Linked DNA regions of Lonchura striata. The protein of the gene in region 3 purifies or fractionates together with the protein of the main gene of each other region. This does not show direct contact. Links are inferred from orthologs where the notes say so. Each region holds a gene or a part of one and is shown on either strand. Other genes may lie near its edges.

Evidence for each region.
Region 1: the proteins of LGALS3 (region 3) and SLC15A4 purify together in Homo sapiens (affinity purification with mass spectrometry; 3 studies listed by BioGRID and IntAct, counting the BioPlex papers as one, with this or other methods). This does not show direct contact. The link is inferred for Lonchura striata from reciprocal best matches to the Homo sapiens genes LGALS3 and SLC15A4.
Region 2: the proteins of LGALS3 (region 3) and SLC12A2 purify together in Homo sapiens (affinity purification with mass spectrometry; 3 studies listed by BioGRID and IntAct, counting the BioPlex papers as one, with this or other methods). This does not show direct contact. The link is inferred for Lonchura striata from reciprocal best matches to the Homo sapiens genes LGALS3 and SLC12A2.
Region 4: the proteins of LGALS3 (region 3) and ECE1 purify together in Homo sapiens (affinity purification with mass spectrometry; 3 studies listed by BioGRID and IntAct, counting the BioPlex papers as one, with this or other methods). This does not show direct contact. The link is inferred for Lonchura striata from reciprocal best matches to the Homo sapiens genes LGALS3 and ECE1.

Annotation. Positions count from the first base shown.
Region 1 is NC_134620.1:14,451,276-14,458,871, forward strand, and holds the start of SLC15A4 (solute carrier family 15 member 4), read right to left. Parts: upstream 3,116-7,596; 5' UTR 3,096-3,115; coding exon 2,526-3,095; intron 1-2,525. Other genes in the region: GLT1D1 (glycosyltransferase 1 domain-containing protein 1), read left to right, coding at 7,382-7,449. UniProt on the Homo sapiens protein: Proton-coupled amino-acid transporter that mediates the transmembrane transport of L-histidine and some di- and tripeptides from inside the lysosome to the cytosol, and plays a key role in innate immune response.
Region 2 is NC_134642.1:83,894,585-83,902,485, reverse strand, and holds the start of SLC12A2 (solute carrier family 12 member 2), read right to left. Parts: upstream 3,185-7,901; 5' UTR 3,036-3,184; coding exon 2,544-3,035; intron 1-2,543. UniProt on the Homo sapiens protein: Cation-chloride cotransporter which mediates the electroneutral transport of chloride, potassium and/or sodium ions across the membrane. Plays a vital role in the regulation of ionic balance and cell volume.
Region 3 is NC_134608.1:3,560,396-3,568,463, reverse strand, and holds the start of LGALS3 (galectin-3), read right to left. Parts: upstream 3,280-8,068; 5' UTR 3,222-3,279; intron 277-3,221; 5' UTR 224-276; intron 88-223; 5' UTR 83-87; coding exon 65-82; intron 1-64. UniProt on the Homo sapiens protein: Galactose-specific lectin which binds IgE. May mediate with the alpha-3, beta-1 integrin the stimulation by CSPG4 of endothelial cells migration.
Region 4 is NC_134626.1:6,143,520-6,151,214, reverse strand, and holds the start of ECE1 (endothelin-converting enzyme 1), read right to left. Parts: upstream 3,082-7,695; 5' UTR 2,852-3,081; coding exon 2,849-2,851; intron 456-2,848; exon of another isoform or gene 261-455; intron 84-260; exon of another isoform or gene 1-83. Other genes in the region: ALPL (alkaline phosphatase, tissue-nonspecific isozyme), read left to right, coding at 5,223-5,280, 5,353-5,472, 6,586-6,698, 7,275-7,449, 7,537-7,695. UniProt on the Homo sapiens protein: Converts big endothelin-1 to endothelin-1.

The DNA.
Region 1 (7,596 bases), on a different chromosome or scaffold from region 3:
CTTTTTGCTACACTGACTGGTGGAAGTTACTTGATCGTAATGATAGTAAAAGGGTTTTAAAATCATGGAGATTTGGGGAGTTAGAAGGAAAATTAAGCTTAGTAGGCCCTGGGAAAATACCCTGGGAAAGTATAGGCCTTGTACTTGCTAGAACTGCACCTGTGTAGCCAGTATATGATAAATGATATAATTGTTAGATGTGATGATTGTTTAGAAATTAAACATAATTACTGTTTAATCATAAGAATAATCATGAGAACCTGTAGTCAGAGGCTTGAAAAACATCACGAGAAACTAATGGTTGAATAAGATCAATGTATACAATAGAACAATATAAGTTTAATAATTAATATGTAAGTTTCTATAACGATAGAATATAAAATACGTTCAGCTCGAGAGCCATGTTGGAGTCAGATTTGGGGCTGTACCCCTGATCCCAGAGCTCCCAATAAAAGCACCTGCACCGTGATTATGTGTGCTCCTGAACAGTAACACTAACTCTACAACACTTCTAAACGCAGGCACTCAACGGAGAGTTAGAAACCACACCTTCCAACTTCAGAGAAAAGTAAGTATTGCAATTCAGTTTCCGATTTTCCACAAAGTGATTCTGCTAAATAAAGAAACCTCTCATTGTACAAGAGCTCTCCACCCAAATTCTATACACACGTTAAAGCTGAGAAATTCATTTGGTCATGTTTAAATGTAATTAATATTTTGAAAGGTGACTGTGCCAACTAAAGTACGTAATATACAATTCATCCTTTCCTTTGGGGAAAGAGGACAAATCTTATCAGCACACAAATCCAGCCAAAACACATCTACAATGTGCTCTGGCCTCCCAAGAATGTGGCTCTGGGATGGACTTTATTCTCAGATACACAGATAGGTAGATAGAGATATACACAGATATAGATATACAGCTATATAGATATATACTCATCTCCTCAGCAGTTTTCTACATTCCTATGCAGGGAAAAGGCACCCAAGAGGGCCCCAAACTGCACTCCAAGGTAAGTGGCATCCTGTAGTATATTTAACAAGAGATAAGCCAGAAAAAGGGAGAAGGGGAAAAATTCAGACCTCGGCAGAGCTCCACTGATTATTATGGCCCAGAAAGGAGTATTTCTTTTGCTTCACCCTACATAAATCACTGTGAATTATCTGCAAACCCAGCCAAAACCTGCTTTCTTTGAAATCCTAGGGGAAAAGCCTCTACAAAATCCAGCTACAAGAGCTACACTTCCATTGGCAATGGTTCTTCTTTTGCTCTGTTCCTGCCATTATTTATCTCCCATATTTAACTTTCATAAAGTGTTCTGGGGATAAGCAGTCAGTTTTGAAAAACACCTTACAAGATAAAGCCATATTAAAGCTATTTCACTTGATGGGCTGAGGCTGGCTCAAGCAGAGCTAATGCACTGGGGACACACAGTCCTGGGCTGTAATAATGTTTTACATTTATATACTGCCTTTTACCCAGAATTTAGAATACATGAAATGCCAAAGAAAGACAAATGCAAACTGCACAACAGAGAACAGAGGTATGTTTGACAATGATTCTGTGGTGGATTCTCCCTCTTTCAAAGAATTCATGGCAGTTCTGGTAACTGCTCTAACCACAACTCAGTGAGCCAACAGACACGCAACTGGACTTTCAGTTTAGTTAGAAAAGCTGCTCAGCAGTACCTGAGCATATTGAAATTCTCCATTTGTAAAGCAGAAATTACATTTCAACATCCACAGCCAGCACACCGCCTTAGCACAGGGCTGTAAAAAAAGCACACGTAGCAGAGCGTTCCAGTTGCTGCTGAGCTGCAGGTCGCCTCTCACGTGTGTTCTGTGCAGCCCCTGGGCTCTGCAGTGATGACCCAATGAATGACAGCACTGTGGCGGGTCCCTGTGAGGTCATTTGACAGGTTGTGTCCTTAGGAACAGCCAGGTGATGTTTACCAGGGTCAGAGCAGCTTCCCCCATCATGTGATGCAGCACGAGCCTGCACAGAAATGCCACTCAAGGGCAGTGCAGTGCACAAATACCTGAAGGAGAAAATCTGTCGGTTCTGCAGCCTTCCTTTACCACAGAAAGGCAAAGGCCTCTGACACTGCCTTAGAAGGCCCATGTCATCCTCGTCACAGCTAAAATGTGTGTCTTGTACTTCATCTGATGAGCTCTGAGGTCAAATTAACTGGGTACAAACTCACCAGCGTGGACAATTAACAGTCCACTTAATGGCCATTAAGTATTCAACCCAAGTCCTCAAGACGGCGATGGCTTAGCCAACTCAGACACCACAGCTAAGGCAGGAAAACCAGGAAAGCAAGGCTGGTAAGGGATCTGACACCGCACAGGCACCAAAATGACACCGAACTGAACAAGCTGCAGTGCGCAGGGCACAGAGCTGGTGCTGCGGTCCCTCCGAGGCTGAGCACCTGCAGAGAGGTCAGTCGCTCGGGCACTGCCCACCCACCGAGGCAAGCCCCTGTGCCACCCCCGAGCGCTGCGGCCGCCGGACGATACTGGACCTGGTCTGCCCCGAACGGGGTGATGTTGGCCTTGACCGAGCCGACGCCCAGCCCCACGAGGACCAGTCCCACGAAGGTGGCGGTGGCGCAGTAGCGGGCGGCTCCCACCTGGGAGCAGGGCGCCGGGGTGGCGTTGGCCGCCGGCGAGGAGCAGTTCTCCACGGGGAACAGGGGGATGTCCCCGCAGAGGCCCTGGCGGGTGTGCGGCGCGGCGATGACGGGGAAGGCCAGCATGCCCAGCAGGTACAGCGCCATGCTGAGCAGGATGGTGCCGAACTTGCCCAGCAGGGCGTCAGCCAGCCAGCCCCCGAACGGCGACACCAGGTAGGTGATGCCCATGAAGAGCAGCAGCGCCTGGCTGGCCTGGGCGCCCTCCCAGCCGTAGGGCGGCCCGTTGAGGAACAGCACCAGGTTGGAGGTGATGCCGTAGAAGGCCACTCGCTCCAGCAGCTCGGCCAGCAGCACGGCGGCGCAGGCCAGCCGCCGGCCCTGGAAGGCGCCGCTCGCCGCCCGCCCGCGCTCGCCGCTGCCCAGCAAAGGGCTGCGCTCGCCCGGCTCGGCCTCGTCCATGGCCCCGCGTCCCCCCGGCCCCGCCGCGGCCGCGCCGCGCTCCCGGCCCGCCCGGCGGGGCCCGCCCCCCGCGCAGCGCCGCGCCGCCATTGGCCGGGGGCGCTGCCACTCCGCCGGCGCCCGGCCCCGCCCCCGGCAGCGGCGCGCTGCCATTGGTCGAGAGCGCTGTCACTCCGCCCGTCCCGCCGTCATGTGCCGCAGTGGGGCGCGGCGGGGCGGAAGTGGCCCGGCCGTGAGGGAGCCCCGGCGGGCGGCACGGTGCCCGTCAGAGCGGGCAGGAGGCTCCTCGCGGTGCCCGTCAGAGCGGGCAGGAGGCTCCTCACGGTGCCCCTCAGAGCGGCCGAGCGGCCCCTCACGGTGTCTGTCAGAGCGGCCGGCCCGTCTCCCCTCCCGGTGCCCCTCAGAGCGGGCAGGAGGCCCCTCGCGGTGCCCGTCAGAGCGGGCAGGAGGCCCCTCGCGGTGCCCGTCAGAGCGGGCAGGAGGCCCCTCGCGGTGCCCCTCAGAGCGGCCGGCCTGTCTCCCCTCCCGGTGCCCCTCGGAGCGGCCGAGCGGCCCCTCACGGTGTCTGTCAGAGCGGCCGGCCTGTCTCCCCTCCCGGTGCCCCTCGGAGCGGCCGAGCGGCCCCTCACGGTGTCTGTCAGAGCGGCCGGGCGGCCCCTCGCGGTGTCTGTCAGAGCGGCCGGCCCGTCTCCCCTCGCGGTGCCCCTCGGAGCCGGGAAGCCGGGGTGCGGCTCCTCTCCCGCTTTGTCTCCGCTGCCGCAGGGAAGTGGGCTCCGACAGCAGCCCCGAACCCTTGGGTCCCCGAGGAAGGGAGCTCCGCAGACCGCCCTGCCAGGCAGGCTCACCTGGCGCAGGTGCGCTTGGAATGCCTGCAGCAGCTGCTCCGGTGCTCTGCCATCCTCAGTGAAAGGAAGATCTTCACGGAGAGGCGGAACTTGGGCTTTAGTTGATGTGTATTGCTCCTCATCCTGTGGCTGGGCACTGAAAAAAGCCTGGCACCAATATCTCGGCCTCTGAGATATTTATATGCATTTATGAGATCCCTTCTCAGCCTTCTTGAGACTAAACAGACCCAGCTCCCACATTCTCTCAGAGATGCTCCAGACCACAAATCATCTTTGGGGTTTTTAGGGTTATTTAATGCTGTAGTTTAAGGTTGTCGCACAACAAGGCCTTTCAGCAGGAAAAGGTGATAAATGTGCACTGTAAAAGGCTGGTTTTATATGTGTTTTTATGTTTGGGCCTGGCTCAGCACCCAGGATGTGCCTGGTGACTCAGGGGTGGGAGCAGCAGCTGGGTGTGAGGGCATGCAGGAATTACGCAGGTGCACATGGAGAATGACCACTCTGATTTCAGTGGGACAAAGCATGTGGTTAAAATGGGAAAACATAAATCAGCGGTTGCAAGATTACAACCCTGAGATGTGCTGCAATTACACATGTTGAGGTAAACGTTGTGAATGTATCACATTGTCTTCAGCAGCAGATCTTAAAGTCTTATTTTTGGCCAGAACAAAGTGGGTAAGACATGGCTGGTTGTGTGTTTTCAGTGAGAAAGTTAAATTTATTGACATAATGTGGTTACATACCAAACATTTAGGCATGACTTACTTTGGAGCCATGTTGGTAAGGGACCAAGTGATGCTTGCAAAAGTAAATATATTCGTTCAATAATGGGCCTTTGTAAATAACATATGCCATAAAAATGACTCATTAAATATATTTGCTTTCTTAAGCAGTTAAGAAATTTCATGACAAAGGACAATGAGGAAAAAGCAACCAGCTGTACAGACATTTCCTTGTGAACTACTGTAACATGACTGATTCTGTAACAAAATTACATTTTCCTAACTTAATACAGTATTGTCATATTAGCTGTGATTGCAGTTTCTGAGGAGTTTAGTAGTATTTTCTGGAGACTCAAAGTAATGAGGCACACTTTGTATTATTGTTATTTTCATGTGTATTTCATATCTATTTCTTATTTTCATGTTTTAGACCCTTCATAAATTGACCTTGGTGAGTGAGGTGAGATTTCTACACTGACCTATCCCACAACTGGTACGAACACCTACCAATGCTGAGCAGTAGTTGAAATGTACATTAAGATGTTACCTAGCTCTTCAGGTACAGAGGTGCAGGCACTCTCCCTGAAATCCACACCTCACTGGTAGAACCCATACATTCTCTCTGGAAGTGCAGCAGCTGAGGAAGGAGGTTTTCGTTTCCCTCCAATCAATCCTTAGCTACAGTGTGTTTCGAAGTTCATTGTGATACATCCACGACCGTCTGTGCACACAATGAATGCAGCTGTGTCTATACAGGAAAACATTCGTGCCATGTCCATGTTTCCAAGATACAGTGCTGCACATTTCCAGATTATTTTTTTTTAGGCAAGGCCTATACAGCATAAAGCCAGAGTTACCATAAATAGTGATAAAATGTTAAGATCTCTTTGAATGTTTCCTTTATTTCCTCCTTATTTCTCAGGTGACTGGTTGAGTTTCCTCATTTCTCATGGAGCAGGCTTTGTCTTACTTTAACGTTTGCGTTTTTGTCTTCTTTGTGTTGCACACTAAAGGTGTAGGACATCTTTTGTTAGCACAAAACGTGGCTTTCTGAGCCACAGGCAGACACCCTGCTTCGGGGTACGCCTGGAGAATCTCCATCCTCAGTGGCACAGGCTGCTCTGGGCACACAGTGCCAGAGCTGCCTGCTGACACCCCTGGATGGGGAGTGAGGAGATTGTGGAGCCAGGAGGGGCCGCGGGGCGGCTGTGCAAGTCTCACACAGCCCGTGGGACACCTTCAGCTCTGGGACAACCGAGAAGCCCAAATGTGCTTCACGTGGGCCGCTTCGAGGCTGGAATCCTGGCCAGACTGACACAAGCCCTCCACATCTCAGCAGGAGTGGGATTTCCTGCCAGTAACACTCCCTAGAATGGTGACACAACCATTCTAGAACCAATGGTTTGGTTCTGCCTACCCTTAGATTAGCGTTTACCCTATTTTTAGCATTTCTGCAGGATTTGTTGCTCTTCTAGGTTGCAGCCAAAATTTTTAGTTCCGGTGGAATTTGGCCTAAAGAATGTTGTGCTAAATCTAAGTGATATCTCAGTGAGATGCAGCTAACACAGCTCTGCAGCACTAAGATTCATTAGCAAAACACGGGCCTGCCTAGCAAAATGTTTACAGTTTGCCAGAACCCACTCCAGTGTGTGTCTTTACAAGTTCTAAACCCTCAATTCCAGAACACCTGTTAGCCTCAGAAATCCACACAATTTATTGGAAGAAGTACTGTTTCAAATATCATTAAATTCAATATTCTTCAGCATGCAGCATGTTTTTCTCTATCTACCTGACACTGAAATTTGAAGAGTAATTTAGGCCAAAATAACAAGGCACTGCAGTTTTTGAAACCCACTTTTCCCCATCTTCTCCAGCCTTTGGGGAAGCTAGCATCTGTGTGACCCTGTGGTGAATTACATCAGGCAACCAGGTTATAAGCAAAAAAGAGAGTTTTCTGTCCACTCAGCCCCCCCTCTCATCACCACCAATGTCCTGCACCTGGTCTCAATACTTTTACAAGACGTTGAAATAAGTTGAGGTGAGAATCTGCCATCAGCCACCTGTTTCCTATTAATGTCCCAACGAACTCCCCAAACTGGCCTCTCACCTTCCTGCCTGCTGCCCCGAGTTTGTGGCTGTAGCTGCCCTTTTATCCTGAACACTGGCTTGCTGCTTTGGGATGTGCTTTTCTTCATCTGGAGTCCAGGTTTGTTCCTTTTTCTTCCCTGTTTTGTTGTATCTTTGGGTTCTGCTGTTGCTGTGGTTTCTTGCCTTTTCCCTGGTCTCACGGACCTTTGGTTCTGCTTCTTTATGTGGCTTTCCTGATGCTGGGAGTGGTCTTCGACCATGCCATTGCCTTATTCTTCAGACTAATGCATTCCTCTGGCTGTTCTGGTGGTTAGGTATTTTCCTATCGGCATTCCTGCACCGAGCATGAGGCACCTCCTGGGTGGCATCGGGAGGCAGAGGCTGCGATGCTCTTCTCGGGAGCCCTTAGAATTGACAATCTGAGCATGTCATCTCTGTGCCTAGCGAGGACACAGCGCGGTGCCGAGCTGTGGAAGGCACCCAAAGCTCTGGCTCGGTAGCCAAGTGCCCTCTGGCCAGGCTGGCCCATCCCGCAGGGCCGGGGGCCGCGGCCGCTCGGCCCCGCTCCGCGGCGCCGTTTCCGGGGGCCGCGGGCAGGTGAGGCGGCGGCGGGCGGAGCGGAGCGGCCGCTATGCGGCTGCTGCTGCTGGCGTGTCTGCGGGCACAGACCGGCAACGCCACCACGGCCGCCAGGATCCGGTAAGTGCCGCGCTGGGAAGGATGCGCTGCGCTCCGCGCCCGCCATGCGCTGCCCGCGCCGGCGCACGGCGGCGGCTCCGCCGGCCGGGCTGCGCGGGGGCGGCGGCCGAGCCCGGGCACCGCGGGCACCCCCCGGGGGCGGCACCC
Region 2 (7,901 bases), on a different chromosome or scaffold from region 3:
ACTTTATGTAAAGGGTACTAGGATGTACCAGCTGCCTTGCTCAGACATGCTGTACCTGACAAATTGGTACAAACTCCACAGCTAAAGAGCAAGGAATAATTCTTCAAGTTACTTTTCTCAAATGCACAGAATTATTCAACAATAGAGACCTGCTACTCAGCAGGAACTTAATTCACTCTGAGAATGGAGACAGTAAGACCCCTGGAAACAGTAAAAAAAAGCACATCAGCTCTGAGAACATCTTCCAAATAAAAGTACAGCACACTCCTGATTTAAAAGTTATCAGGGCTCTGTATTCACAAACAATACACATAATCAAGAGATGGGATGAATTTCATACTCCCATGAGATTGCCAGGAACGTAGGTATCTGATGCTATTAGCATGCAGAACACACCCTTATTAAAAGCTTTTGTGTTCACAGCTTTATCTGGAAAGTATTTTGCTAAGTTGGAAGCAAAAATAATGGTTCCCTTCTTCTTATAAGCCTAAGTAGCTGCTAACACCATAATGGCTTTGGACAGTAAACATCTTGCGATAGAACACTTGAGTTACTCCATTGAACTTCAGCTTAAAATTCTGAAGTTGACACTGTGACCTTCTTTAAAAATTAATACTTAATACCAAATACAACTAAAATTCCATATTCCACCCCAATATTCACTTGATGGGAAGAGAGGCCCAAACAGAGAGGGCATGGCTTTAAAAAAAGAAGTATCTTCACATGTACATCTATCCACACTGCAGAATGAATTAATGACACTTAAGAAATTAATAACTTGTATTAATTAATACTCGCTATGAAACTGTTTTGATAATGATCCTGTAATTAGGTTGTCTACCACTCCTCTGTGCCACAGACTACAAAGAAAATTCCTTGCCATTAATTTCTTCTTAATAAAGAAATTGCAATTTTAGAAGCTGTAGGTCCAGAATATGCTATATTCTGCACTGAAATATTTTAATGGTATCAAAGAGCTTTCCACAGTGCTGCAACATTAACACACTGAAAAATCTATCTGCCAAGCTTAGAAATCTGAGAAACATTCTGCTTACAAAGCTGAGTATCCAACACACCTGGTCATCCTATCATGGACCAGGAATCAGAAATCTGGGGGAGCAGCAGGACAGAAGACCAATGTACTACGAGCACACATATATGTGTGTTATTTATAGTTTACCCAAGTCCAAACACATAGTATGAAATCTCAATTGGCAATTACTGCTATCTTAGAACCAGACCACAGATCATCATTTAGGCCATCAAAAAGGGACCTGGAAGGCAGGAGTAATTTGGAGTTATGGTTAGTAATTAAAATCTGTCATCTAATCTCAGATGTCACAAACAAGTATCTTTGTAATGCACCAACCAGCTCTTTCTACTGGAACAGTTCCACAGTCAGTGTCAAAAACACACTCAAAGAATCACCACCATTCCCCCAAAAAAACCCCAAACCTCACACATCAGTGCTGATGCACTGAGAAGCCTAATAATGGTGTGAAACAGGTAAATCTGGAAAGAATACACATTTCCTCAAGGAACTCCACCTATAAGCAGTGAAAAGTGTGATAAAAAAAAAAAAAGTTCTGGAAACAAAATATTCACTTCCTTGGAATGTGGCCCATGCATTTATTTCCCTAAACCCAGCAGAAAGACCTCACTTAAAAACACTGGCTCCTGAGCACAGCCATACACCAATTTTCAAACAGTGAGAAAACAGCATTGCAAGAGTTTAATCTTTATCTGGAGTTAGTTTAGTGACGATAGTTAAAGAAAAAAAAAAATAAGCCCGGGAAATTAATTCTACGTTCAGTTACAGCTGGTCTTCTAGCCAAGCCAGCCTGCAATGCAAAGAAGGCTCTCACTGTCAACTCGTCTCAAATAACACACGGACTCCTAGTCCAAAATAGAAAAAGCCTGAGACGCACAGCTCCGAAATTTTTCAAGCCTTGACCGCGGCACAGGAGCAGCCCTGGGAAGGCTGGCTCAGGATCTGTGCCTGTGCAGATCCAGCAGCATCCGATCCAGATCCCATCGGATCCAGCGGGCTCCACCTCGGAGCCGCAGAGACAAACCTCCGGCCGCTACCAAAGCAAGCGCATCCTTATTTATTTACTTCATTTTTTTAGCGTCTCTACCAAATGTGTTCACTCGCCTCCCCACACTAGTTCCCATGGCGAGCCCCCGAATCAATACGCTATCTGTTGGAGGCGATTTGGACGTGGAAAACCTGTAAGAGAATCCCAGCTCGGTGACAGGGAAAACAACCCTACGGAAAATACCTCTGGCACTGGGGGACCATCTCCCAAAAGCACGTGTTCGTGGGGGGATGGATTCCACTGCGTCAGGAAAAGACAAAAAAAAATAAATATGTAACAGAACTGAGACGCAAGCTATGCACCCGCGCTATATGCGCCTGCTCGAGGCTCGGCGAGCTTTCGTGTTTTGGGTTTGTTTTTTTTTTTTTTTTAAGCTTTTCTGCCGACGCGCTCCGAGGAGCTGCCGCACCCCCGGCGCCGGGGGAGCCCGGGAGCCGCTCTCACCTTGTCCAGCTCATCGTGCAGCTCGGCCAGGCTGGGCCGGAGCAGCTTCTCGCCCAGGTCGGCGGCCGTGTGCCGGTAGTGGTCGATGCGGGGCACGGCGTCCATGGTGTTGTGGCCGAAGGTGCGCAGGTAGTAGGTGTTGGTATGGGTGTCATAGTAGTAGTGGTGGTGCCCGCCCGAGTGCAGGCTGCCCTCGCTCATCACCGTGTCGCCGCCGTTCTGCACGTTGCCGCCCTCCGAGCTGCCTCCCCCGGGCTCGCCGGGGCTCTCGCCGCCGGCCGACGGGTCCACGAAGTTCACCCGAAACCTGCCCTTGGCTTCCTCGCCTCCCTTGCCCGCCGCGCCGATGTCCCCGCACGACTTGCGGGGCCCCTCGGCCACCAGGTCCACCTGGAAGCGGCTCTGGCTCGGCGTGGGACCCAGCGGCTTGCCCAGCGCATCCCTGGAGCCCTCATCCCCCGTGGACCCCGCCGCCAGCTCCTTGCCCTCCATGCCTTCCCCTCGCTCCGCGGCCGCCGCTGCTCCGAACGCCCCTCCCAGCCGGCGGCTCCGCTGCTTTAAGCGGCCGAGCGGCGCCCCGGGGCTGCCGCAGACACAGCGCCGCGCCCCGCCCCCGCCGCAGCGCCAGGTGACGGCGCCGCTGCTGCCTCCGGTCCCTCCGCCCGACCCCGCTCAGCCCAGGCGGGAGCGCGGCCGCTTGCTCGGCTGGCGCGGCGGCAGGGATGCGGCGGGGAAAAAACCGGCGGCGCCGCGCAGGCTCCGCCCGCTCCCGGCTGCGGCGGAGGGGGCGGCGGGAGCGCGTCCCCGGCCGGGCGGCGGCGGCTCCTCCCGCCCGCACTATGGCGGCCCCGCCGCATCCGCCCCGCGGCGGCGCTGGGAGGGGCGGGGGGCGCGCCGCGATCCCGCCCGGCACGGCCCCGCCGGCCGCCGCCACGTCTCGCGAGAGGAGCGGCGGGGCGCTCGGGGCCGCGCGGTGCCTCGCGGAGCCGGGACCCCTCGGCAGCCCCCGGGAGCCCTCGGGGTCCCTGGGGCACCCCCGGAGCTTCGCGCACAGCCCCGGAGCGCCCATACACACCCCGGAGCTTCGCGCAGAGCCCCGGAGCCCCTCACACAGCCCCGGAGCCCCTCACACAACCCCGGAGCTTCACACACAGCCCCGGAGCCCCTCACACAGCCCCGGAGCCCCTCACACACAGCCCCGGAGCTTCACACACAGCCCCGGAGCCCCTCACACAGCCCCGGAGCCCCTCACACAGCCCCGGAGCTTCACACACAGCCCCGGAGCTCCCATACCCACCCCGGTTCCCCTCACACAGCCCCGGAGCGCCCATACCCACCCCGGAGCCCCTCACACAGCCCCGGAGCCCCTCACACAGCCCCGGAGCTCCCATACCCATCCCGGGTCCCCTCACACAGCCCCGGAGCTCCTATACACACCCCTGGAGCCCCTCACACAGCCCCGGTTCCCCTCACACAGCCCCAGATCCCCTCACACAGCCCCGGAGCCCCTCACACAGCCCCGGAGCCCCTCACACAGCCCCGGAGCCCCTCACACAGCCCCGGAGCCCCTCACACAGCCCCGGAGCCCCTCACACAGCCCCGGAGCCCCTCACACAGCCCCGGAGCGCCCATGCCCACCCCGGAGCCCCTCACACAGCCCCGGAGCGCCCATACACAGCCCCGGAGCCCCTCACACAGCCCCGGAGCCCCTCACACAGCCCCGGAGCCCTTCACACAGCCCCGGAGCTCCTATACCCACCCCGGTTCCCCTCACACAGCCCCGGAGCCCCTCACACACCCCTGGAGCCCCTCACATAGCCCCGGTTCCCCTCACACACCCCTGGAGCCCCTCACACAGTCCCGGAGCGCCCATACCCATCCCGGTTCCCCTCACACGGCCCCGGAGCCCCTCACACAGCCCCGGAGCTCCCATACCCACCCCGGATCCCCTCACACACCCCTGGAGCCCCTCACGCACCGAGGGCCTCCCGTGCACACCCCCAGATCCTCTCAGTTCCCCTCAGAGTCCCTCACACACACCCCCAGACTCAAGTGCACCCCCTGATCTCCTCAGATCTCGGTTCTCCTCAGACACCGCCTGATCCGTCACACACACACCCCCTGGGTCCCTCACACGCACCCCCAGAGCTCTCACATGCTTTGGTGCCTCGCACAGCCCCTCGGACCCCTCGTATGCCCTTGATCCCCTCAGATCCCTCCTGTTGCTCACGCACACACACCCAGATCCCCTAACAAACCCCCGGTTCTTCACACACCCCACGAACCCACTCACACCCCCCGTTCTTCAGCCACCACCCAGAATCTCGAGGCTGGGTCCGGCTGGAAGGGACCATAGTTGGTCATCTGGGCCGATCTCCCCGCTCCGGCAGGGTCATCCCGAAGCACATGGCACCGTGTTGTGACCAGACGGCTCTGGAATGACTCCAGAGACACAGACTCCGCGCCCTCCCTGGACAATCTGTTCCCGTGCTCGGTCACTGCACAGGGAAGAAGTTCTTCATGCTCAGGTGGAATGTTCCTGTGCATCAGTCCCTGCCGTTTCTCTCACCCTGGTGATTGACCATCACCAAACTGCACCATCTCCCTGGCACCCTCCTATTGATATTTATAAACAAGGATGATGTTTTTTCTCAGCTGCCTCTTTTCAAGGCTGAGCAGGCCAAACTCCCTCATCTGTCCTCATGAGAGATGCTCCAGTGCCCCCATCATGCTCATTGCCCCTGGACCTGCTCAGACGCTCCCTGGTTCTTCACACACCCCTTGCACCCCTTCACACACCCCCTGGTTCCTCAGACACCCGTGAACCCCTCACCCGCCTGGACTCCTTCACATCTCTCCATGGATCCCCTTTTTTTACCTTCCAGCCTCTGGATCTCTGCCAATTGCACTGTAAAAACCACTTGCATAATAGATCTAATGTCAGTAATGCCTTTTTCTGTCTCCTCTGCTGCAGCTTTTTGTCCCTGTTCTCTTAAAGTTTATTCTCTCTCCAGAAGCATACGTGGTTCTTTAATTTGAAAAGTGAAGTCGTTCTGCCTCCTCGCTCTCACTGGAACATAAGTGCCTGGATAATCCATTAAAGCATATGAAGTTGGCTCTTTGTGAAAAGAAACCTCAGATGGGAGTAAAATACTTCAGCTTCCACAGAGAGAATTTAAACAGGGACTCAACAATGATTTTTCATTGTGCATTTTTGTTGTCTTTATACTTGAAAGTAGCAGCTCACAGAATATCACGAGAGGTGGGCTGTGTCTCCAAAACACTTTTACCTCATTTAGGGTGCTAAAAGTAATCAAGCAAACATGCACTTCAGTCAGGCATCTTGAACAATGCCACCTCTTTATGTTAGTGACATTTTAGTTGGCACTTCTGGGTTCCAAATATATTTTTTTCCCCCTTGATGTGAAGTTCTGTATATTTTCCCCCTCTGCCTAGCAAACTCTTGAGTGCCAACATCCATTTTCTATCTCAGCACACCTCTACTGTTTTATTTCAATTAACAACAAACCTGGTGACGTCATCCAACAGAAAATGACTGGAACCATAAAACAAAGCTTGCTTTTCCATAACAATTAGAGGAAGAAGTATTTCAATTCTAGGGATGTGTACATGCCTAAAAAAGCTGAGGATGCCTCAGTAGGTTAAAAAGATGGGTACACCGATCCTTACTTGCTTAAACACTGTTCTAGAAAAACAGAACAAATCGTATACTTCAAAATAGTTTGAGACATTATTGGATAGACTCACAAATTTAAAAAGAAAAAAGAGAAAATATTTGAGTGTGTAAAGAAAATAAAATCTGTGTGCAAACTGGAAAATAAAAAATTAGGCCATGGTGAAATTTTTACTTTTTTTCAGGGTGCAAAGACCTGTAAAACAGTGGATGATGAAGGGAATGAGTCAAAATAAAAGATTTCTGTTCAGAACTGAAAGTAAACAGCACCTAAACAACAGATGATATGCAAAGAAAATCCACCTTACATTTTTAATAAGCAGATATAAACAGTTCTTTACCAACAACATCTGCATAGAATGTCATATGTAAGAGGTTTGGAAACAGTTTAGACTTGGAAATGTCAACTTCTGTCAGTTCCCCACATAAATAAGTGAAAGCAGAGGAGAGAAACAGCATGTGAAATCCCATGGATTTTATGCAGTTGATAATGGTGGGATGATACTGCAATATTTAGATAGTTTAAAGGACAGTCTTCATGGACTAGTGGATGTGTTGTTGGCTACAACTGCAAGGCCCATGGCCTGCCTGGAGTCAGTTCTTAACATTCTGTGATTCCATGGTTGTATGAATGTGAGATAACTCTAAATACTGGCTTTGAAGAAAACAAAAAGTTGAGGATGCTACTGCAGCCCCCAAGAAAGACAAGGGAATGGAGGACTGAGAAAAAGATTGATGAGGAAAATACAAGCCTCTCAGAATTAAAAGGATCCAAAAGATGAGGAATGGGAATTACCACTGTATGAGAAGCTGGGAACAGCAGCAGTAGGAAAATGAACCAAGATTTCATCAGGGTTCTGGGACTTCATGTAACCCTGAAGTTCTCTCACCCTGAGAAAGGTGCACGATTCTGTAGCTGTAAGGGATAAAAAAAAAGCACACAAATTCCCATTAAATGCCAATTAAAATGTCATCAACAGTAAGAAATACACTTTGAGGAGAAAAATAAAAGAATATTCACTTTAAGCTCATAATTAAATGGTTTCTTACATGCCACTGCTTAAAATAGCATTGCAGTAGAGTTTGGGTGTAATTGGTAAAGAAAATAACATAACACATTAAATAAAAGCAAGCAATAAATTACTGTTATTCTGGCCAAGATTGTTTACCACAGAACATTTGTAATTGTTTTTTTTTTCTTTTGAAAGGGAGGAGGGAGGAGCTGTGGAGGTTTTCAATATCCTTTGACAAACTTTTTCTACTTTGAACTTGCCATTTGTCAGCTTCATCAGATATTTCATAGGGCTCATTTGATAACTAATGTGAAACACTGGAAAATGCAAACACTTTATGCCATTATGATTGTCCTGGTTATTTAGACTAGATCTCACTCCTGTGTGCCTCTTTGCCAAGCAGAAGAACTGTAATTTTAAGTCTTTCTCTTCCAAAGTGCAAGCTGATGACAACCACTCACTTTGCCTACCAGATAGGGCCTTTTCTTCTGTGAGGGCTCTTTATATCATCATCATCATCCACTGGCCTTAGGCTCTTCATGGGCTTGCTGTTCCAGATCTATGTGCTAATTTAATTTTTTTCTGTATATTTTTCTGTATTGGGGCATGCTCATGATCTGTTTTGGTTTTAATACATTTCAGCTTTTGCAC
Region 3 (8,068 bases):
CAAGGTCTCTGCTTCAAGACCACAGCCACAGCCCCCACAGATCTTTAAAGAAATCCATACTTACAGAGAAACCGTCGGACATTTTTCCTAAAAAAAAAACCAAACAAACAAAAAGGAAGCATCAGTCATTCTTAACCTGCCCCATCCAAAAACCAGAGAATTTTTGAGGGAATTACAGTTCAGAGTGGCAAGTGATGGGAATTGCTGAGTTGCCATCACGTACCTGCTCAGCAGAGCTGACAGCTGTGGTGCCAGAGAAGAAATCCTGTCCAACACCTGTGGGATAAACAGGAGGCACTGCTGTGAGCAGCCTGAATGCTCGGGGTGGATCCAGCCTGTCAGAACTCAAAGTGTCCCTCAGACATTTTTGGAGGTTCCAGACCCAGGTCAGAAGCAATTGAGACCCTGTCAGGCAGCTGGAAACAGCTGTGATTTTGAGTTTGAACATGGAATGATTTACCAACCTTGCAGGAAGAACAAGCAGTCAAAAAAGTTTAGATATTATAGTAGAAGTAGTTACAAAGTAGAGGGAAGAGTTTTTGAGTGCTGTACAGGGGGGTTTAAGTTTTGTACATGGGGGTCAGAGATTTTAAGATCGATTTGGGATTTGGGCCTGCCCTGTCCTCCCTCTTTCTCCTTCCTTACCTCCATGTTCTTGGTGATGTTGGCACTCACAGGTTGGTTTAGAGTAGAAAAGCACTTTGTAATATAGGTAGTAGGTATTGGGGAAAAACTATAAACATGTAACACATAATGTACCATATAAAATATAGAAAATCACCATTTAGTATAGGTAGTAGGTATTGGGGAAAAACTGTAACCATGTAACACGTAATGTACCATATAAAAGAGAGCAGCAGCCCTGGGTGGGGAGAGAAGAAGCAGTCGGGGTCAGAGAGGAAGTCAGGGTGTGTGTGTGCCTCTGCCTGAGCTGTGAGCAAACCACAGCAGCCCCAGAAGAAAATCTTTTAGATAACTCACAATAAACTGCCTTGAGACCAACAACAGAGACTGCTGAGCCTTTCCTTGGAAGCTCGGGTTGGAGGAGAGACTTTTCCACCACACAGAGCCACCCCTGACCCAGGGTGAGCTCCAGCACCAGCCCAGCCACCCTCGGGAGGAAATCCACCACCGAGCTTACAACACTCCCAGTGTTATCCACTTCCCCAGCCTTGAGGCACCATCCAGGATTTCCATTTCCATTAAAAAAAAAACCCCAAATGGGATCCCTGGGGGATGCAGGCACAGCATCAGCCAGGAGCTGCAAATCCAGCGCAGCACATCGGGGACATGCAGCCACCCTGTGACACTTGGGACGGCCTGGAATGGGCAGGGGAGGGTGGCAGCCACCCATCCAGGTCCCCTTTCCTCTCCCATACATCACAACTGTCCCATTCCAGCCGGAGGGCACCATGGGAGGGACACAGCGGCTCCGGGCCAGATAAAAGCTGCTTTGCAAGTTTTGTGAGTCCACAAAACACGCAGCAAACACACACCTGCCTGTGCTCAGGAATAGCCCGAGCTGGGTTCCTCCCATCAAAGGGAGCATTCATAAGAGAAGGAAAAAGGGAGAGCCAGAAACGAGGGAAGAGAAGGAAAAAAAAAATAAATCCAAATTTAAAACAGAGAAGGCAAATTCTCTTTGAAAGAAACATTCGGATGCACAAAGCCTGCAGGAGGTGTGGCTGCCCTGCCTCAGGAGTAACAAACCCCCAAGTTTCACAGCTAGCAAATCGCTTCTCTTCCTGCAAAACAATCATTCTCCTGAGCCCACGGGGTTTTTAAGGCAGCCTTCCCAGCAGAATCCAGAGTGTTTGAGCAGCCCATATCTCCCAAAGCTTTTATTTGCCTTCTGGGCTCTTTCTAAAGCCAGAGTTTGGGGTGCACACACAGCCAGGTCAGGTGTGCTCCATGGTGTGCTCCTTGTGCTGCTCCAGGGGACGTCCTGCATGATCCCCCTGGAACACCTCAGGGAGCAGCAAACCCCAAGTTTTATCCCCTTAGGCACCCTTGGGACAAGGTGGCCAGACCCTTGTGTCCCCCAGACAGATCTGGGGACACGTCTGGACAGTTTTGGAGTCTGTAACCAAAGTCCCCAAACCCCACTAATCCTCTGCAGCCAGGCGTGGAGCCCGGTGTCACCTCCTCTCTGTCACTGCAGTGCTGGAGCTCCCGGAGCTCTGGAAATGCCCTCTGGGTTATCTGGTTTTCTCCCACTTTTTCAGCAGTGCCCCAGCGCTGGATTGCAGAGAATCACAGCATCAGTGGGGCTGGAAAAGCCCTCTAAGCCCATGGAGCCCAACCATTCCCCCAGCACTGAGTCCCCAAGTGCCACATCCACGTGGCTTTTAAATCCCTCCAGGGATGGGGACTCCACCACCGCCCTGAGCAGCCGTGTCAGGGCTGAACAAACTTTTCCATGAAGAAATTTCCCCTAATATCCGCTTAAACCTCCTCTAGTGCAGCATGAGACCATTTTCTCTCATCCTGTCTCTTGTTCCCGGGGAGCAGAGCCTGAATCCCTCCCAGATCCATCCTCCTGTGAGGGAATTGTGGAGAGTGAGAAGGTCCCCCCTGAACATCCTTTTGTCCAGGCTGAGCCCCTTTCCCAGCTCCTTCATCCACTCCTCATAGAGTACTTGAGCTCTGATTTCCAGCAGCATTTGGGCAGCTGAGCTCGAGTTTACCTGAGCTCTCTCTGTCTCAGCCCAGGATCAGCTGCAGGGAGCATCCCAGAGCTGACCCCAAACATTCCCTATGTTCACATTAAGCAGAAAAAGATTTCTATTTGGGAAAGAAACACCAGTTCTCTCCCCTTCGGTGATATTCCTGCAGAACTCAAACCTATTCACTCCTAAACGCAACTGCCAGAACAGAAAAATAAAGACGGGTGAGACTAAAAAGCATTTCTTACAAAGTCCAGGCAGTATCTTCTGTCTTCCAATGCCAACTTATTATAACGGGCTTCTGTCTCACCCCGCAAGGATTTGGGGGCACGGGCAGGGCTGTGCAGCCCCCCGCGAGTCGCAAACACCCGTGGATCTCCCCGCAGTGACGGTGCCTCCATCACCCCTCGAACCAGCCGGGGCTTCCCGTGCGCCCCAAACCGCGGAGCTCCCACCCCGCCCTCCCAGGCCACCGGAGCACCCCGAACCTTTCCCCTCCGAGCATTCCTGTGCTTTATCCCCCCGTTCCCCCCGGGATTCCCCCGCATCCCTCACCGGCGTGCGGCGGCTCCGCGGCTGCTCTGGAGCCGCCCGGGGGCGGGGACGCCTCGGGGCGGTCCCGGCGCTGGGGACACCCGTGACCGCCCCACCCGCGGCGTGGCTCCCTTCGGCAGCGCTGCATCCCCCCCGGAGGATGCTAACAGAGACAATTGGGCTTTTCTCACGGTTTTCCTCGCACGGCGCTTCCCTGTAGGAACTCAAAATGTCTTAAGTTTGAGCTATAGAATGAATGACTAACTTTAAAGGTAGAAGAAGCAGTCACAAAGGGTTAGATAGTATAGCAAAAGTAGTTACAAAGTAGAGGGGGCAATTTTTTTAGTATTGTACAAGGGGGTTTTAACACATGTACAGGGGGGTTTTTACTTTGTACATGGGGGTCAGAAGTTCTAAGATAGAGGAAAGTCGGCTGATCCTGTTCTTCCTCCTTCTTCTTCCTTACCTCCATGTTCTTTCTAAGATAGAGGAAAGTAAGCTAATCCTGTTCTTCCTCCTTCTTCTTCCTTACCTCCATGTTCTTAGTAATGTTGGCACTCACAAATTGGTTTAAAGTAAAAAAAAAAACCACTTAATAATATAAGTAGTAAATATTGAGAAATAATTGTAAACATGTTATACGTAATATATCTTACAAAAGATAGCAACAGCCCTAAGTGAGGAGAGAGAAGAAGAAAACACCACAGTCAGGGTGTCAGGAGTGTGTGCATCCCTGCCTGGGCTGCTGATCAAACAGCCGCAGCCCGAGAACACAATCTGTTAAATAATCAGCAATAAATTGTCTTAAGACCGAACAACAAGAGGCTGCAGAGTTTTTCTTTGGAAGCACAGCTTAGAGGAGAGACTTCACCACCACACGAGACCCCAAAGCAAACCCAAGGTTCCCACAGTTCCCGTCTCCCTGCCCCGCCCGCCTGCAGCCTCTGCCAGATGTTCTTCCTCGCCAGATGTTTGCCCATGCGGCTCACGGCTCCATCCCCCCAGCTTTAGCGCAGCTGGTAAAACACCGATTGGATTTTAAATGGTGAACATTTTGTCCTTCGTTTTCACCCGAGGCAGCGAGGCGGGCAGAGGATGGGCTCTGGGAAGCTGCTGGAGGCAGCTGGAATTTCAACAAGCCCGATTTTATTTGAGGTTGAGGGTGAATCATCTCTGCTTTGCTCCATGGGCTCCAATGGAAAAGAAAATAGTGGTTTTGTGCTGAAATCCTGACCTGCTGCACTGTGCTGCTGGGAGAAGGGAAAGGGAAGGAAAAGAAAGGAAGGGAATTAGAATGGAATGGATTAGAATCAAACAGGAGAGAGGATTTCGGTAGGAAGACACCCACAATGAGCATCTAATCCACCTCCCTGACCAATTCAGGGCTGGCCAAGGGTTACTAAGGGACTCACCCTCTAATTATTGGTGTCATCACAGAGGTACAAAGTGCTGCTTTTAGCCAGCAGCTCACAGCAGCTCAGCTGCAGCTGATATCCAAAAAAAAAAAAAAAAAAAAGGCAAAAATATGTTGGCTTTGGCTCTGATTAATCCTAGTATAAATTCCTCTGGTTCGACTCTGCTTATTTAAAAGATTTTGCTTCAAACATTGACCAAAAAGATTGGCCTGTTTATTTTCCTGCACAAGTGCCCTAAGGTTTGTATTTTCAGAATTCACAGAATGACTAGGCTGGAAGGGATCTCAAAGATCATCGAGTCCAACCCAAAACATGATGATAAAGAAAAATATTTGACCAAGAGTCAGTGGATACAGAAGTTAACACCAGGACTAATTAATGCCTTAATTTAAATAAGGAATTATTTAAATTTTTATATAGTATAATATATAATGTATAATATATAATGCATAATGTATAACATATAACATATAATATTAATATATAACATATAATATTAATATATAACATATAACATATAACATATAACATATAACATATAACATATAACATATAACATATAATATATAATATATAATATATAATATATAATATATAATATATAATATATAATATATAATATATAATATATAATATATATTATATAATATATAATATATAATATATAATATATAATATATAATATATAATATATAATATATAATATATAATATATAATGTATAATGTATAATGTACATTATATAGTATATATTTTACTTTATATATGATTGATATATGATATATGATATATTATATATTATATATTATATATTATAAAATATATAGTATATAATATTTTATTATATATATTATTATTAAATACTATATTTGCTATATCAATAATATATTCATATTGTGAATATTTTATACATTTGTAATATAAAATATTATAGATATTTATTATTTCTATATAATAAAATATATTTCTATTATATAATATGTCTATAGTTCATACATTTTATTTATTTATTTAAATATTTAAATATGTAATTAATTTAAATAAACCAAGCTGCAGCAAGGATGATGAGTGAGGTTGGATGGGGCTTGGAGCAGCGTGATCTGGTGGAAAGTGTCCCTGCCCCTGGAACAAAAAGGCCTTTAAGGTCCCTTCCAACCCAGTGCCACGGCTCCGTGATTCAGCGTCCTCGGCGTGGCTGCTGGAGCCCTTTGCACACAGAGCCAGCAACGTTTCTCTTCTGAGTCATCCCATGGTGACACACAGGGACACCAAAGTGTGGCCACTGAGCTTCACAATTCTTCTCCCTGCGACCCAGGGGCGTGGAAAGTTGTTTTATTGCCAGGAGTCAGCAGAGCAGGGCTGGGCCACCCCGGCTTGCAGGGAGATGCAAGGCCCAGATCTCCCTCACAGCCTCCTGATGCCTGGCCATGCAACCCTGGCTCTTCCAAAGTGCCTGAAGAATTAGTCGTGCCTCAAAAATCAATATATTCCGTGGGTTTGATTTTTTTAAAACACTCCCAAGTATCTTATTTACTTTAGAGAGCCCTCAAAGTAAAACAAAACCCTCCTTGGTACCATGGATGACTTAAAGCCCCAAATTGCAAACCCAGGGGGTGGGAGATGGAGGACCCAGGGAGGTGGATCAGCCACGAGACCACCCCATTTCTGGGGGATGTGCTCTCAACTTTCCCTTCATTGCAGCTAAACACTCCAAGCACGAGCTGCTTTCCCCATTTTAGAATTCCCAGCATTTCTCCAAAGGCAAGAGCCAAAGGATATCTGACAGTGGCTGGGTCTGCTTGGGGGAGCTTGGAGTTCCTCACTGCAGCTGGAAAAAACAGGGCTGTGGAAAAACACCACACTGCAATAGAGAATTGATCTCCAAAAGGTTAAATAACTTTAAAACGGTATTTTCACACTGCTCAATGGGACATAATAGCCAGAAATCTGCTCCTCTTTTCCTGATGGTAAATTAATTGGAGGAAACCAATCTAGAGGGCAGGAAGCTCCACGGTGTGAGAGATCCGCTTCCCTTCCCAGAGCAGAGCAGCCCACAGCCACATTTCCCTGCCTTGTGATTCCCGTGGCCCGACGTGAGTGGGACTGGCAGCACCCACAGAGTGCAATGTTTGGGCTGCAGATCTGCCAGGGGGGCCGTGCTTGATTTTCAAGTGCTAAATCCAGCCCACCATCCCTGCCTGTGCAACCTGCCAGTCTGGGAGCTGTGACAGCATCCCCTCCTCGCTCAGGGCTGGGGATGAGGCTTCGAGGAGCCTTCATGGAGCCCTGTGAGAACCCCAGCCTGGTTCAGGGGTCCCGTGTGGTGGTGAAATTCCTCCTCCAAGCCGTGCTTCCAAAGAAAAACTGCTCAGGCTCTTGTTGTTTGGTCTCAAGGCAATTTATTGTGAGTTATCTAAAAGATTTTCTCCTCGAGCTGCTGTGGTTTGCTCACAGCTCAGGTAGAGGCACACACACACCCTGACTTCCTCTCTGTCTGCTGTCCTCTTCTTCTTCTCTCCCCACCAGGGCTGCTGCTGTCTTTTATATGATATATTACATATTACATGTTTATAGTTTTTCCCCAATACCTACTACCTATATTACAAAGTGCTTTTCTACTCTAAACCAATCTGTGAGTGCCAACATCACCAAGAACATGGAGGCAAGGAAGAAGAAGGAGGAAGAACAGGATCAGCCCACTTTCCTCCATCTTAGAACTTCTGACCCCCATGTACAAAGTAAAAACCCCCCTGTACAGGTGCTAAAACCCCCCTGTACAATACTAAAAATATTTCCCCTCTGTTTTGTAACTACTTTTACTATCCTATCTAACCCTTTGTGACTGCTTGTTCCACCTTCAAAGTTGGTAACTCATTCCATGGCTCAAACCCAAAATCACAGCTGTTTCCAGCTGCCTGCCAGGGTCTAAAATACTTCTGACCAAGGCCTGCAACCTCTAAAAATGTCTGAGGGACATTTTGAGTTCCAACAGAGCCCCTCATGGCACTTCCTGAGGTGTCACTGCAGCTCCAGACCCGAATTCCTGTGGCTGAGTCACCTCTGACTCTCCTTGCAATAAAAAAGGACAACACAGCAAAATCAGGCAATGGGAATCTCCTGTGTGACTTGAGCAGTATCATTCCAGGACTTCTGAGAGCAGGGATTGAATAGCCCCACTGTCGCCCTGATTCTTAAGATTTTCTAAAGCCTTCTGAGTTTACATTCTGTTAGAAAACTTTCCCACACATTTTCTATAAACAATGTATTATTTTGCATTCCTTCGTGGGGTTGGAGGAAGTTGATGTACTGGTGGTTTGTCCAATGTCTTTGGAGAGGTGGCACCTTCACTCTCCAATCCACTGTCACCTTTGGAAAAGTATAAAAGTTGGAGTCAGAGAATAAACCTTCTTCTTTTTTACCTTGATATTGCAGTGGCTCCTGTTGTGCTTTCTCG
Region 4 (7,695 bases), on a different chromosome or scaffold from region 3:
GCACAGAGGGCCGGAGCCAAGAGCTGAGCAAAGCCCGAACCCGCCTCACTTTCCCCCGGGGCCGGGTTGTGCAACCTCCCCTTCAGCCTGGAATGAAGCCGGATCCACCTCCGCCCTGCAGTGGGGAGAGCGACCCCCCTGTGCCAGGGAATCCCGTAGTGCCAGGCACCTGGGAGAGGCTGGCAGCAGAGAAAATGGCTTTTCTCCCTGACACTCCCGGCTCGCTCGCGCTCAACGCCCCATCTGCGAACCCCGCGCACCCTGAAACAGCCGGAGAAGTCCCTGCGAGCACCCAAAGGAGACAGCACCAGGAATTTCAGCTGTGGACGGGATCCCTCCCGGCGCCGTGTCCTCCGGGCATTATCTTGTGCCAGTGCCCGGCTCTTATCTCATCCCCGGCAGAAAAACAAGGAAAACCTCCCGGGTTGGCAGCCGGCCCTTATCGCGCTGCCGCCGCTGCTTCCTTCCCCCTGGCACTGCCCTGCCATCCAGCCAGATTGTCTCCCGATGGAGCAAACAACCCTCCACTCCCCACCGAGGGGCTGAGCACCCCAAAATCCACCTTGACCCTGCCACCGATGGCCCGAGCGGCACCACTCAGAACCCTTCACCCGCAATCAGCACAAGGAGGGGGTTTAAACCCATCTGGATGCCCCCATCCCGCTGCCATCAATCCCAAAGGGATGAGTTGATCCAAACCCCGCAAAGCCGAGCCTCAATTTCTCCTGGCAGAATGAAAGCACCGGTTTGTTTCCAATAGCAGCATTCCCAAACCTCCCTTTGCACGCTTAATAACAAGTCTCATTCTCTCCCCGGATCCCAAATCCCAGCCTCAGTTTAATTAACCACAAAACCCACCTGGGGAAGAAAAAGGGTTAAAACAAAGATGTGGTTTCCCTCCTTGGTTGTACCGAAATCTCTGTTTGCGGCCCCAAAATCTCCCCTGGGCGCCCGCCTGGAGCCTGAGAACCGTGAGACGAAAGAGCCTCAACTGCAAGATTTTATCGTGGGGAAAATCTCTGTTTAGATCCTATTTTTTCCCAACCCCTTTCACTTTTTTTCCCACCTATTTTAGTACTTCGCACATGGCTGAAATTGGCAGCTCCGCGCACAAATCACCGCTCACACGGTGGGGGGGATTCATGAAGCCTCCACGGCTCCGCAACACCAAATTCCTGGAATCCCAGCTTTCACTCCATTTCCTGAGGAAATGCAATCTTTTTTTCCTCAGCTATCCCCCACCCTGCCTACCCCAGCCCGAAAACCAGGAAAAAGACAAAAAAATGAATCCCTTTCTGTTCTCCTTTCACAAGAGATGTGCTGGCTCAACCCGGTACCAGCCATTAGAGAACCCAAACTGAGCCCGAGTTCCCCCAAACACCTCCGAGAGGCACTGGGATCGACCCCCAGCATCCTTAATTTGAGGGGAAACTGGGCCCAGGAGGTATTTTTTTAACACCCATATCCTTCACACTGAGGACATAGTAGCACCTCGGGGTGCTCCTCACCCTCTCCAGCAGGTGAAGCAGGAGCACCCCTTTTTGGGGGGAAAAATGGGATAGATTTTGTCACACACTCCCCTCTCCAAGCCGTTATTTACTTCAATCCTAATAAAAACGCATTCTCCCCGCTCCAACAGGGTGGGGGGACACCCACACTTTAACCCCCCGCGCACGGGAGTTTCACCCTCTATACAACTTACAAAAACCCCGGCATTAAATACCCTGCTTTTACCCCAAATCTCTCCTTCGCTCTATAAACAATAAGCCCCACGTGCTCGGAGCCCGCACACCCCCAGCCAGGCCCGGGGGTCCCCCAGGGCCCGGTTCTGCCCCGCCGGGGGAGCCCCGCTCCGGTACCGGGCACCCCGCGCCTCCGCCGGCTGCTTTCAATTCCCGTCCGGGCGCCATTTCGGAGCAACCGCAGCCACGATCGCCATGGCGATTCCTCGCCTTCCCCCAGCCCCTCCGACGCCCCGACACCACCCTGAGCCCCCCAAGTCACCCCCAAAGCCCCGCCTGGCAAAGCGGTGCCCACCCGCCCCACCCCCCAGCACCCATGGGTGCCCCCGCACCTCTACAGCCAGCGCCCAGCGAGGCTCAGCTTGCTAATTAGGATGTCCGGGGGGTAATTAGCAACTTCTGGTGTTAATCAGGGGTGCCGGTGTTAATCAGGGTTTTGGGGGAGCTCCTAGTTGTGTAGGGAACCCTGACTGTGCAGATTGAGTAATTTTTAAAGAAAAGCTTAAAAAGCACTCAAAAAAGAGTTAAACTTTACCGAAAATAAATAAATAAATAAATAAATAGGGAGAAGTACAACCCAGTTTGGGGGTGCTCGAAAACAGCCCCACAAGAGTGGGTTCAGTTGGGTGGGGGGCGCCCCCCTCCCTTTGCCGATGGAAACAAGGTGCAAACCCCCGCGGGTCTGGGTCAAGAGTGGATTTGGGGGCGCCGAGGGGCTTGAGGAGGCACCCAGAGGGGGGCACCCACTTTGGGGTCCCCACCTGCTGACCCCACCCGCCACAAAGAAAACGCCGCTGGGGGGGCCCGAGTGGGGCACCCAGGGGTGCTCGGGGGTGCAGCGGGGGTCCCTGGGGGTGTCTTAGGGGGGTCCTTGGGATGCAATGGGAGACCGCTTAAGGGTCCAATGAGGGTCTCACGGAGATCCTCGGGGATCCAAAGGGTGACCAGCGGGGACGCCGGGGGTACCCCGGGATGCAGTGGGGGGGTCCTATGGGGTTACAAAGAGCATCCCACGGCAAATACATCACCCGGCGCCCCGCTTTGGCCAAGCGGCCCCTACTCAACCACCCCCAGATTTCGGGGTGTCGCCGGGCCCCCTCACTCACCATGGCCGTTACCCCGCTCCCGCCGGCCCGGCCCCGATGGGGCGAGCGCCCGCTGAGCCCCGGCACCGCTCGTGACGCCGCCGCGGCCTAGCGAGGGTGACGAGCAAAGGATGTACCTGGGATGGGAAACCAATGGGGCCGCGGAGGGACGGGCTTCCCGCACGCCTCCTTTAACTCTTTCGGGGGGCCGCAAGCCCCGTTTGGGGGGCCCCGCGTGCCCCGGCGCTGCCGGCAGCATCCCCCCGAGGCAGCCCTGGCTCCCTGGCCGGAGGGGATGTGGCGTCCCGGGGCGAGCGTGCAAGGCGCGATGCCGGCGGCGGCCGCTTGTGCAAGGGCGAAAGCAACGCGGGGCGAGCGCGCTCGTGCAAACGCGTGGGCGAGCGCGGGGAGGCCACCAGCAGCCCCACGCGTGCTTGTGGACGGGCACGCGGCGCAGTCGTGCAAGCGCGTGTGCTGCTTGCACGCCTGCAGCTGCACACACTCGTGCGTGCCCGCAGCTCCGCGAGTGTGCCAGCGTGAGCTTTCCCACGCCGAAAGGCACCGGCGTGCCCTGCCGTGGTGACGGGCATGGGGACACGCGGTGCCACCTCCCGCCCCCTGCGCTGCCCCGGCGGGCTGAGCACTGACGCGCTCATCACACCCACGGGATGCAAATGGCTTCTGCTGGGCTGCGAAAGTGCTGGGGGGTGCAGAGGGGTGAAGAGACGGGGGAAGGGGAAAGGGGAAAGGGTTCCGGAGGGATTTGGAGCGTCCGCAAGGGGCCGTGCCCGTCCTCTGGCATCGCGGCCGTGTTGGGGCTCCCTCGGTTGCACCCCGAGGGTCCCGGCGATTTTTGGGCTGAGACCGCCACCTTCTGGGAGGCCACGGGCGGCTCCGCGGGTCACGGAGCGGCTCGGGCCTCCTCCATGGGGAAACTGAGGCAGGGCTGAGAGTCACCCACTCCCCCCGCCCTCGTCACCGCGTCGTGATTATTGTAGGAACTACAGTAATGCCACGGGATCCCACCAGGGATCTCTCGCGGGCTGCTGCAAGAGCCCGTGTGGTGAAACTGAGGCAGGAAGACCCCACTCATCTCCATCACCCCCACCCCAACCCCAACCCCTCGCCGGTGCCGCTAGCACGGTTTGGGTGAAAATAATGCAAAATCCGGCAAAGCGCACGTCTACCCCACCAAGAGGCACCCCAAACTCCCACGTGTGAAGCGAGGGAGGGTTTCTCAGCACTTATAGCCAGGCTTGGTGCTCCCCAGTCCTCCCAGTTCTCCCAGTATAACCCGGCAGAGGGCACCAGTAAGCCCAGTTTGTGGCCTTTTCTCCCCCCGCCCCCCCCCCCCCCCCCTTGCTGGCAGCAGGGGGAGGGTGGAGGAAGGGGAGGAGGAGGAGGAGGCTAAGGCCGGGTGCGGGGGGATTTAAGGGCTCGCGATCCCCCCGGCCCGGCCTCCTCCCGCCGCCCAGAGGGACGTGGGTGTAGGGACCCAAGTTAGTGCGGGTACGTGTGTGGCAGCCCCCACCCCCGGTAAGGACCCCCCCGGGGGCCACCGCTGCCATCCCGGGGGAGGGAGGCTCTCCGGGAGCGCGGGGTGAGGGGGCGTGCAGCGGAGGGAAGCTGCTGGGGGGATGTGGGGGTGATGGGGACACGGGAGCGTGGTGAGGACGCGGGTGTGCAACGGGGACACACGGAGATGCTGCAGGGACTTGGGCGTGCAACAGGGACACAGACATGCAGTGGGGCCACGAGCATGTGGTGGGCACACGGGCATGGGATGGGGACACGGACGTGCAGCAAGGACATGGATGTGTCGTGGGACGCGGTCATGCGGGGACGCGGGTGCACAACAGGCACAGAAATGCAACAGGGACACGGGTTTGTGATGGGGATGGGGACAGGGGTGTGTGGTGGGGACATCAGGGACGTGGCACACACAGGGGATGCGGTGGGGACACGGGTGTGTGCTGGGACTGCAGATGTGCAGTGGGGACATGGGCATGGGATGGGAACACGGAGGTGACAGGGACACATGATGGGGACACATGAGAGGTACACAAGCACAAGATGGGGACGTGGACATGGAAGGGGAACACACACGTGATGGGGACCTCACTGTGCCACAGGGACCATCCTGGCTTCCCCCAGCTCGGGTTGGTGGCAGTGAGGTGACACCTCATGGGACTCATGACTAGGGAGGCACGGGGGAGGCGGGGTAAGCTGGCATGTCCCCAGGGGGATCACATCGGTTACTGTGTAGGGAGGGGACATTTTTTCTGTCCTCGCTTGGTTGACCCCGGACCAAAGGTCTCAGTGGGGAAACTGAGGCACGAGCGGGTGCCACCCACCTCGCAGCTCTCTTCTGGCAGCCCCCGCTCAGCGCCGCAGGATGAAGGCTCTGTTAGTCCTCCTCCTCGCCCACCTCTGCTCGGCATCGCTGGTCCCAGGTAGGTGAGGTTCGGAGGGGCAGCACCCCAAAGGTGCTGCCGTGGGGTGCTAGGAGCCCGCTTCTCCTGCAGAGAGGGAGAAGGACCCCGAGTACTGGCGGCGGCAGGCGCAGGAGACCCTCAGGAACGCGCTGCGGCTCCAGCGCCTCAACCAGAACGTGGCCAAGAACCTCATCCTCTTCCTGGGGGACGGTGAGATGGGAGGGGAGCACCCACCCCGGGCGGGGGCAGCGGGGCTGGGGGGCACGGGGGGGCGATGAAGTGGCTGCAATAAAGTGGGTGCTGGGATAAACTGGGGCTTTGACGCATTGGGTGTCGTGGGAAAATAGGTGCTGTGGTGAGTTGTGTTCTGGGATAAACTGGGGTTCCTGTAAGCTGAGTGCTGGTGTGAACAGGGTTTGCGAAAAAGATGTGTGCTGGGGTAAACTGGCTGCTGCAATGAACTGGATTTACAAAGAAAATGGGTGCTGTGGTAAATTGAGTTAACAGTAGACTCAGTTTATTTTGTGGGTGCTGGGTAAACTGGATTTGCGAAAATATATTGGTTGCTTCAATCAACTGGATTTGCAAAAAAATGGGTGCTATGGTAAATAGTGTGAGTTTACAACAAACTGGGTGCTGGATAAACTGGATTTGCAAAAAATATTGGTTGCTGCAATCAGTTTGGTTTGTGTTAAGTTGGGTGCTGGGGTAAACTGGGTGCTGGTATGAACAAGACTTAGAGTAAGTTGAGTGCTGCAATAAATTGGGTTTGAAATGAATATTGGGTGCTAGGGAGAACTGAGTTGCAATAAACTGGGTGGCAGCATGAGCCGGGTGCTGCAATGAACTGGGATTGCAGTAACCTGGTGCAGGGATAAAGTGGATTGGCAAAAAATTGGATCTCAGGTAAATTGGTTTTGCCATCATTTGAGTGCTGGCATAAACTGGGATTGCAATAAAGTGGGTGCTGGGATAAATTTGGTTTGCCAAAAACTTGAGTGCTGGGATAACCCGCGTGCAGGAATGAATTGGCTTTGCAAAAAAGTTGGGTGTTGCAATAAACTGGGCTCTGTGATGAACTGCCTTTGTGATGAAAAGTGGCTGCTGGGATAAACTGGGAGCTGGGATAAACTGGCTGCACAATAAACCGGGCTTGCAAAAAAAATTGGTTGCTGTGATAAACTGGACGATGGGATAAACTGGATGATGGGATAAACTGATCGATGGGCTAAAGGGGGTGTGCGGTGAGCAGAGATGAGCGGGGTTTGCGCGGAGCGCGCTGCGCTGCCCGGGGCCGCCGGGCTGGCTGACGGTGTCCCGCAGGAATGGGCGTCTCCACGGTCACGGCCGCCCGCATCCTCAAAGGGCAGCTGCACGGGCAGGGCGAGGAGAGCCTGCTGGAGATGGACAAGTTCCCCTTCGTGGCCTTGGCCAAGGTGAGCCCCCGCGGGGCACCCACGGGGACGCGACACCCACCGCGAGGTCACGGGCGGGCGGCATCGAACGAGCCGAAATTAGGTCATGGGCGAGCGAAGGCAGCTGGCTCCGGTGCCCGCTGGCCGTGCCAGGGGCCGGCCGTGGGAACGGGGAGGGGGGCAGGAGGAGCCCGACGCCTGCGGGACGCCACGGGACCCCCCTGCTTCTCCTGGGGTCGTTTTGCTGAACGAAACATTGTAAAATAATAATTAAATTTGAAGTCGGCGGCCCCCTCCATTCACCCCGTGGGGATGCCCGTGGCTGTGGCTTCCATCTCCCTGCCAAAAGATGGACTGAAAAAAGGCTAAAAGCAGCAAAATGCAGTGTGGAGGGGGGGATGTCCCACCACGGTGGAGGGAGTAGGGGGTAAAATAGGGGGCAAAGGGCAAAAGAGAGGGGACACAGGTGGGATGGGGGTCTGGTGCAGCCAAACAGCCCAGGAAGGGAAGCCCCAGGGTGGGAATGGTGGTGCCGTCAGTGGTGAGACAATGACGGTGGCGATAACGATGGGGGTTTATCCATCTCCCACCTTCCAGACCTACAACACCAATGCCCAGGTGCCCGACAGCGCAGGCACGGCCACCGCCTACCTCTGCGGTGTCAAAGCCAACGAGGGGACGCTGGGGGTCAGCGCCGGTGTCACCCGGGACCGCTGCAACACCACCAAGGGCCAGGAGGTGACCTCCATCCTCCGCTGGGCCAAGGAGGCAGGTGAGGCACAGAGGAGATCCTGGGCAGGAGGTCCAGCGGGCGGCTTTGGGGCTGTTCTCACCGTTGTCCCCTGAACTGGTGGCTCAGGCAAGGCCGTGGGCATCGTCACCACCACGCGCGTGACCCACGCCACACCCAGCGCCGCCTACGCCCACTCTGCCAACCGTGACTGGTACTCGGATGGAGAGATGCCCCCAGATGCCCTGCAGGGGGGCTGCAAGGACATCGCCCGGCAGCTGGTGGAGA